Ovis aries: one gene and its partner. The protein of the gene in region 1 purifies or fractionates together with the protein of each later gene. This does not show direct contact. Links are inferred from orthologs where the notes say so. Each region holds a gene or a part of one and is shown on either strand. Other genes may lie near its edges. The genes, in order: STK35 and C12H1orf174.

Region 1 (4,515 bases):
AATCCACAGGAGGAGGAAATCCGAACCCACTCCAGTTTTTGCCTGGAGAATCCCCATGGTCAGAAGAGCCCAGCAGGCTACAGTCCATGCAGGTTACAAACAGTCTAATATGACTTAGCAACTAAACCACCACCACCAAAGAGGCATGACAACTAAATGTAAATATGTGATCCTGATTGGATCATGGGAATAGCTACATTATTGGGACAAGTGGCTACATTTAGTATGGAAGATGTATTAAAAATTGTGTTATTGTCAAAATTCTTCATTTTGATAGTTGTACCAAGGTTTTGCAAGACAATATTCATGTTCTTAGGAAATACACACAGACGTATTCGGGATTAAAGAGGCACGATGTCTGAAACATAAAGTGGTGTGGGGGGAAAAGTACACCCACGTCTATATATAATACATACACAAATACACAAGAGAATACGACAGTGCAAATGTAGTAAAATATAGCAAACTATTATCCTGGTTAAAAAAGTTGTGAGAATCTTTACCATGCTTGCAATTTATATATAAATTTGAAATTTTACCCCCAAAATTTATTTTCGTGATCATACCAACAAAAGTGGCCTGTCCCCAGCCCCCTGGCACTCTTTAGCTCATTCTTTTCATCGATCACACTTACATTGTAAAAATGATTCTGCGTATTAATTTACTTAATAATATCTAACATTTAATGTGTGTGAAGGCCCTGTCCTAAGTGCTTTAACCTTCTAAACTCAGTGAATTCTCACATACTGCTCTTCCCATTTTACAGATAAGGAGGAGAGACACAAGAAAGTGTGTTAACTAATTTGCAGACACCCATATGATTTGATACCCACTCCAGTGTTCTGGTCTGGAGAATCCCAGGGACGGGGGAGCCTGGTGGGCTGCCATCTATGGGGTCGCACAGAGTGGGACACGACTGAGCGACTTCCCTTTGACTTTTCACTTTCATGCATTGGAGAAGGAAATGGCAGCCCACTCCAGTGTTCTTGCCTGGAGAATTCTAGGGATGCGGGAGCCTGGTGGGCTGCCGTCTATGGGGTCACACAGGGTCGGACACGACTGAAGTGACTTAGCAGCAGTAGCAGCAGCAGCAGCAGTGAACAAGATATTTTAAAATTCCTGCCTAAACGGAGCTTACATTCAGCGCTCTCAGCCCTGCACCCAATTAGCCACTTTCTATTTACATCTAAATATTTACATATTAACATTTTATATAAAATATACTTATTTAATTTGGGACTATCAATCCTGGGAGGTAAGGGCCAGTCTACCCATTTTGCAGAAGAAAAAACTGAGGCTCCAAGTGGAGGCAATGGTTTGCCCAAGATCAACAGGTTTAGTAGGGAGACAGGGTATGGAGTCCAACCCAGTCCGGGCGGTTCCCAGGCAAGACCTATGAATCAATTAAACCGACCAATCCAATCGACCAATCAGTATTTATTAGCGCCTACTGCGTGCAGCTCTTCTCGCAGCGCGGGCGAAGAGAGGAGGTTGCGGTGCACAGGCGGCTGCGAAGACTAGAGGCCATAGCCGAATCGCGGGAATTTGGCGCCTATTTTTTGTTGGTTGGGTGTTCTCGCCTGTGATTGGGCCCCCGCCCCGCGTGGGTGCGCCGGGCTGCGGCTCGTCGGCCGACCCTGGCAAGACGCCGGCGGCGCAGCACTCAGCCGGCCTTCCGGGGGATGGGCCACCAGGAGCCTCCGCTGGCCCGACTGAGGGCCGGACGTGCGGCTTATATAAAAAGGTTACGTAAAGGGCTCAGCTGGCGCGAACACGTGGAGAGCCGCGGGAGCCCGGACGCCCAGCTGTCCCCCGAGAGCACTGCTGCCGTCACTCGTGCAGTAGCAGGCGCCGTCGCCCGCCCGACTCGGGCCGCGGCCTCCCGCGCGGCTCCGTACCCGAGGCAGCCCCGTCCCGGGGCGGACCATCCCCAGCCGGGGGCCTTAGGAGGGAAACGCGCTGCCCGGAAGTGGAAGGGCGCCGGCCAGGTAAGCGCGCTGTCCGCGGCGTAAAAGCTAGCACCGAAGCTGGAACTACGGCTGCCGCCTCGGGCGTCTGTGAGGGCAGTTGGGCCCCAGGTTGGGCGCGCTCAGGGACGCCGAACTTTTAAGCCAACCCCTTACACCCGCAGTCCGGCGGGACTTGGGTCGGTCCGCAGGGCTCTGCTCGGGCTTAATTCAATGGACTGTTTACACCCGGGAGAACTCAGGGCGGGACGCGGGGAGGGGCATCCCAGAGGGAGCCAAGCAGCGGAAAAAGATTTCTACAGTCTGAATTGCTTCTGAAGGCGGTTTTCATCAGTCATGGAAACAGCGGGTCCTTGTTTTTCGTACTGCTACACGATAAATTAACTGAAAAGGCGGGGACTTTTTGCTCTTTTCTCCGGCTCCCCCCTCTAAGCCAGTGCCCCGTGGTTTCGTCTTTCCCGCTTTCCCCTCCCCTCCCCCGTTCGCTCTGCAGCCGTGGCTTCCGTCTTAAAGGGGCCGCAACGGCCGGAGGAGGAGGTGGGACGCCCTGAGGCTTACGCTCCAGGCCTCCCCGCCTCGGCCTAGTCGTTTAACCGACTTTTTCGCCCGCAGGTCACAATCCAAGGTCCCGCTCTTCCGCGTCCCGGGGCCGGACGGAGGGATGAGGCAGGGGGGTCCCGGGCAGCGCCGTTGCTGCTCCCCCCGCCGCCCGCAGCCATGGAAACGGGGGAGGAGGACGGCGCTCGCAGAGGTACACAAAGCCCCGAGCGGAAAAGGCGAAGCCCAGTGCCGCGGGCGCTCAGCGCGAAGCTGAGGCCGGCGGCGGCGGCCCAGGCCATGGATCCGGTGGCGGCCCAGGCCCCAGGCGAGGCCTACCTGGCGCGGCGGCGGCCGGAGGGCGGCGGCGGGTCGGCGCGGCCGCGCTACAGCCTGTTGGCGGAGATCGGGCGCGGCAGCTACGGCGTGGTGTACGAGGCAGTGGCCGGGCGCAGCGGGGCCCGGGTGGCGGTCAAGAAGATCCGCTGCGACGCCCCCGAGAACGTGGAGCTGGCGCTGGCCGAATTCTGGGCCCTGACCAGCCTCAAGCGGCGCCACCAGAATGTCGTGCAGTTTGAAGAGTGCGTCCTGCAGCGCAACGGGCTCGCCCAGCGCATGAGCCACGGCAACAAGAGCTCGCAGCTTTACCTGCGCCTGGTGGAGACCTCGCTTAAAGGTAGGAGCGCCGAGGGCCGCCCTGGCCACGCCGGGCCTGGGCCCAAGAGTCTGGTGGCCAGACCCGAACTGACCCCTGGACCCCTAGAATCTGGTCCCAGTCCTGTCAACCCTGGACCCGACACACCCTCCTTTCTGCGCCAGGCAAAAAGTCCGCCCTCCCCTCTCCAGATCCGGAATCAGTTCCCAGCCCTAATGTTAGCTGGTTTTTTCATAACAAGGGCTCATTAAGTGCTAACCATTGTGATACTAGTGCTCCTTAAGTGAGCCATTAGTATGAAACGTCTAGCACTTTGAAGGTCGGATTTGGAAGTGGAGGGGGTTGGGCTCAGAGTTAGTGGAAGAACTCCCGAGCCCCCTCACAGGCTTGGGCCCTTCTCTTTCCCTCCCAAAGCAAACAGAAAGGAAAAAACTCAGCCGGACCCACCCACACCCACTCCTTGTCTGGTTCCAAAAATCCCCGAACCATCGGGCTCCACCCTGCAGACTCTGGTTCGTCTTTTTCCTCTGAGACCCCCCCAGCTCTTCTTCCCAGGGCACTCAAGCTGACTGATAGTTTTTAGGCTAGGTCCTCTTGGGACCCGCAGCATAATAACCCCACAGGTGGGCCAGAACTGTCACACAACAACATCGAATATCTTTTTCCTCTTGTTTTACACGTTCTTAACTTTCTGAGGCTGACTTGTAAGTGGTTTTATTTCTAGAAAAGGTAGGGCTTAGTGAGGCAAAGGGGTTTTGCAGTTCTGGGGAGGGCAAATCCTCGTTTGGGGGTTTTAACTGCAGTCAGTGGGTGTGTGCATCCTGAGTGGTCACGTGTCTTGTTCAGACTACAAGTAGCTGGGGGTCTCTTCCTAGCCAGTGGGCTAGGAAGGCCTGAGGAGTGTTCTCAGGGGAGAGGTTGCTAATCTGAGCCCCAGCTCTGCCCTATATCTCTTACAGTGACTGGAGGTAATAACTTTAAAAGTAAATCCTCTCCTCTTTCTATAAACAGAGAAACTAAGGATTAGAGATGAACTTGAAGGTAAGTTGATGAAGGTTAATCAGCTTGTAAGGGATGTAGGGTTGTCCTCCTGTTTTCTTTACAATTTTTCATAGCTTAAGGGATGTGATCCCAGATTTGTCTTGATTTCAAGGTCTAAATCGTTTTAAGAGGGGTAACAATTTCCTCTTCTCCCCTGAAGATGCACTAGATCTGACCTTAGTAAGGATGGATAGGGTCTGGGGTAGGGTGGAGTCAGCTAGTGCATTTTGTTTGGAGCTTTTGCCTGATCTCAAGATTCTGCAAGGCCCGTCTCAAGAGAACTTCTTGGCCCACTTCAGATCAGTTTGATAGTGG
Region 2 (4,540 bases), on another chromosome or scaffold:
GGTCCAGCTCATCTCAACTGACATCAACCATAACCACCTGGAGCCAAACGCTAGCTTGTGACCATCAACCCCAGGTTAATGAGAACTCAGAGTCCTAAAGGAGCCTTAAGTAAAACCACAGAACCTACCTTATTATGAAACCCACTCCAGTGAAAATGGGACGTTCATGCTCAGTCCTGTCTGACTCTTTGCAACTCCATGGGATTTCCACTGAAGTGGGTTGCCATTTTGCTCTCCAAGGGATCTTTCCTACCCAGGGATCAAACCTCCATCTCTTGTGTCTCCTGCATTGGCAGGGGGAATTTTTACCACTGTGACATCTGGGAAGCCTGAAAATGGGACAGGTTAGGTATTTAACACTGTATCACTTTGCTTCTTTCTTAGCAGCTGACAGTGATTATGTTAGCTTCCTCTTCAAATGGATTTCCTGCCAGTCTGCATTAGTCTTTTTTCCCTTCCCTGTGCACCATGGGGAACAACTCAGTGAGAAGCAGGGGACTGGGAAGATGGACAGGCCAGGTGGGTTAGCTTGTGCAGGTGTGTGCAGTGTGTACTCTAGGACTTGATGCACTGCCGAAAGCAAAGCCCCAAGTGCAGTCTATGGGAAGGGGCTCCCCCTAATTAGCAAAAGTCAGATTTCTAAAGACAGGACAGTCTGCAGGGCTTTTTGGAGGATCCTGAGGGACCCTGCTTTTTATGTACTAAAAACGGGCATCGACTGTTTTTCCAGGCTTCGAGGGTCATTCCGTCAGAGCAGAGCATGAAACCTTTGGCAGAGCCAGGGAACCACATGAGTGAGGGTGCCTCGAGCGGTACACACTTCAACCTGTACACTGTAAGTGCAAAATCTAATGTTTCTGATAAAACTGCCTGATGTAAATGTTCTCACCTGTTAGAACAGTAATAACAAAACTACACAGCACTGTCGTTTATTCTGTGTCCCTGATGAGAAGGTGGGCGGTTCCCGGAAGGAGCCTCCCGCGGGCACAGAGGCCGGTGTCTCCCGGCTCTGGAGGCCCGAAAACCCGGCGGACTTCAGCCACGTCCGTGGACCTGGCCCCGTGGCGCCGACGCCCGCGCCCGCGCCCCGGGACCCAGAAGGCAGGTTCCCGCCCGTTGGCCGCCGCCAGGTGGTGCGGGCCAGCGCGGGGGGCTGCACCCGAGGGTGGCCGCCCCGGAGCTCGCGGCGGGAGAGGCCGCCGCCTTCCGAGCCCCCGCGATCCGGCGCGCGGTGCAGCCCCGGGCCCGGCCCGCCCCGCCCCCGGCGGCAGGCAGGGCGAACACGGCCGGGGACGGCCTCGCGGGCCCACTTCCAGAGACTGTGTAGCATCGCGCCCGGAGCCCAGAAGACAGGGCCGACACCGGGGAAATTCAGCTGCCCGACTCGCGTGGAAGACACCACCACGCAGGACCTTTCCACCCACCTCCACGCACGTGGCCAGGGACAGCAACCAGGGTCCCTCAACCTAGTCGCCACCGCCCCACTTAAACATGGGGACCGCAGAAACTACCAGGGAGGCGCCCCACTTAAACATGGCGGCTGGAGAAATCGCAAGGGAGGGCCCCCTCACAAACATGGCCGTCTCCCCGCCCATACGTAAAACGCCGACTCTGCTGGGTCACATACCCGAGGACGCCGAGCTGTGATTGGCCAGTCTTCTGGTGGCGTCACACGCCGCGGCGCGAGCCAAGGGCCGCCGGATCTCTTCTCCGGTGGAAAGGATCAAGCTGGGCGCGGGGCCTTGGCGGCGGGGCTGAGAGCGGCAGCGCGCCGCTCACACTCATGAGGAGCCGGAAGGTGAGGGGGGGCGGAGGCCGCGTGGGAGCTGAGGCTGAGCCACAGGACACCTCGGATGGAGGAGGGGAGGGATCTCCGCCTGTGTCTCGACCCCCGGAAGGGGTCTCCCAGGCCACGCCCCCCGGGAGCGGGGTTCTCCCAGGCCACGCCCTTAGGCGCCCCCACGCACACACCAGACACACAGATACACGGACCCTACGCCCCCCGGCTGGGGGCCTCTTGAGAAGGATGTTCCCAGACCAAGTTCTGGAATGGGGGGCTCCCTCTCCAGAGCTAGTCTGAAACCCCGATACTCTGACGCTGCCTGGCCCGGGGTCTGTCAGCCCAAGTTGGGGCACACGATGAGGGGTCCACCCCGGAGGGTGGAAAGAATTGAGGGGCTGTAGCTCCTGGTACTGGTTGCCGTCGGGCGGTCTAGGGCCCGGGACTGGATACGCCCTGCCTGGGGAGGTGGGCCTCTTGGGGATGGGAGCCGCACCTGGGCTCCCTGGTCTGCTCTCCTTTTTATTGTTTGTACCTTTGACTCAAAAGTGGGTCTCCTGAAGACCCCATGTGGATGGCACTTTCCCAGTCTGACTTCCCTGACTTGTGATGGATTGTTTAGCTACGCCGCTTGGGGATTCCCAGAATCCTGCAATGCAGGAGGCGCGGGTTCCATCCCTAAGTGGGTAAGAGCCCCGGAGGAGGAAATGGCAACACACTCCAGTATTATTGCCTGGAGAACCCATGGACAGAGGAGCCTGGAAAGAGTCGGACACGACTGAGTGAGCTCTTGCTGTTTGCAAGATCTTCCATAGTCCTTGACTTGCAGCATTTGTAGTGTTGCATCTGATTATAGATCTCTTTGCAGTTATCCTACTTGAAATTCAGCTATTTGATATTGCTGGGTTTGTGCATTGTTCTTCAATAAATTTGGGAAGTTTTCAGCCCTTATTTTTTCCAATATTTTTTGTACACCTTTCTTCCTGGTATTCCCATTACATGTATGATGGTTCATTTAGTGGTCTCTGAGGCTCTCTTCATTCTATTTCATCCTTATTTCTCTTTGTTTTTTGGTTTGTGTAATCTAGCAATCTATCTTCTTCTTTTTTTTTTTTTTAGCAATCTATCTTCAAGTTCTCTTATTCTTCTGATCCATATCTATTCTTGAGCATTGCCCACTCCAAACCCACCAGTGAATTTTTAATTTCAGCTATCGTAATGTTCAACTCCTGAGTTCCCATTTGGTTTTTTTATAATGTCTATTTTTTTTATTGATAATCTCTATTTGATATGATGTCATTAAATCTTTAATCATGGTTTCTTTTAAGTTCTTGAACGTGTTTAAAATGGCTAGTTTGAAGTTCTTTTCTGATAAATCCTGCATCTGATCACTGTCACAGGCAGTTTCTTTTACTTGCTATTATTCTAGTGTTTGGGTCTGCATTCCTGTTTCTTTGCATGCTTCCTAACTTTCTGTTGAAAACTGGACATTTTAGATACTATAGCAACTCTGGGTACTGTGTCTGCCACCCCCGCCCTGAGTGGTAACAAGCCCTCTGAGGAGCAGTTGCACCCCAGTATTTTAAGGACTATGTAGAAAACACCTAGACGCACCTTGCTGCTACCGGAGGGCCTACACAGCGCATGCCCCAGAACCAGGCAGGGTCTTGGCTCAGTCCCCCTGACAAGCCACCAGGGCTTTCACCTGGTAACTCTGGTGGCAGAGCAGGGAGAGGGGCTCCAATGAGTGTGTGACCCCAGCAGGGTCCTCTCCTGAGTTTGAAGTGGGAGTGCTGCTCCTTTTAAGGTTGTTCAGCACGAGCAGAACCTAAGCAGCAACACTTGGGTGATGGCAGCTGTCATGAGGGCCAGTCCATTTCCCCACACCCCACCTTGAGAAAGCCAGTGTGACCCGGGATCGATACATTTGGAGTTGGACTCTTAATGGTGAGACCTACTGGTGTCATATCTGGGGCTCCAAAGAGCTCCAGTACCACTGTCCTTTATGTCTCAGTGCAGAAAAGAATTCAGCAAGAGCAAAGTGATGGGTAAGAAGAGATTGTTAGAATGGATGCTTGTGCGGTTTACGAGTGGGTGGAAGAGGGGGTGCTGCACCCTGAGAACTTAGCAGGCTTCAGTTTCATAATCAAAGGAGAAGTGGCCAGGGGGAGAAGAACTTTGTCTTTCTTGAGTAGACATCGTGCTTCCATCATCAGCTCCTCCTCCAGGCTGGGCAGGGGAGTTTTCTTGTCCCTATGTGGTCAAAAAAGGTCCACAGATTATTGTTTTGTGTGTTCAGAGAGCACATCCTAGGGATCGTTACCTTACTGAGCTCACTGGGCAGGACGTGGGGCTCACGTCACCACTGTTTTATTGTTTGAGGGCATGTCTTAATACTTCTGTCTCATGGTTTTGTTGCTAAGCAAGCCCGCTTTCTCAAGTAATTGCTAACTTAACAGGGGTCTCCCATATTTTTTCCATTTACAATCTCCTAGTGGGATTCTCCGGAGAAGGCAATGGCAACCCACTCCAGGACTCTTGCCTGGAAAATCCCGTGGACGGAGGAGCCTGGTAGGCTGCAGTCCATGGGGTCGCTAGGAGTCGGACACGACTGAGTGACTTCACTTTCACTTTTCACTTTCATCCATTGGAGAAGGAAATGGCAACCCACTCCAGTGTTCTTGCCTGGAGAATCCCAGGGACGGGGGAGCCTGGTGGGCTGCTGTCTCTGGGGTCGCACAGAGTCGGACACAAATGAAG

What was found.
Region 2: the proteins of STK35 (region 1) and C12H1orf174 purify together in Homo sapiens (affinity purification with mass spectrometry; 3 studies listed by BioGRID and IntAct, counting the BioPlex papers as one, with this or other methods). This does not show direct contact. The link is inferred for Ovis aries from reciprocal best matches to the Homo sapiens genes STK35 and C1orf174.

The regions. Positions count from the first base shown.
Region 1 is NC_056066.1:52,743,842-52,748,356, reverse strand, and holds the start of STK35 (serine/threonine-protein kinase 35), read left to right. Parts: upstream 1-1,629; 5' UTR 1,630-1,682; coding exon 1,683-1,988; intron 1,989-2,579; coding exon 2,580-3,180; exon of another isoform or gene 3,181-3,334; intron 3,335-4,515.
Region 2 is NC_056065.1:48,597,679-48,602,218, forward strand, and holds the start of C12H1orf174 (UPF0688 protein C1orf174 homolog), read left to right. Parts: upstream 1-1,703; 5' UTR 1,704-1,783; coding exon 1,784-1,798; exon of another isoform or gene 1,799-1,907; intron 1,908-4,540.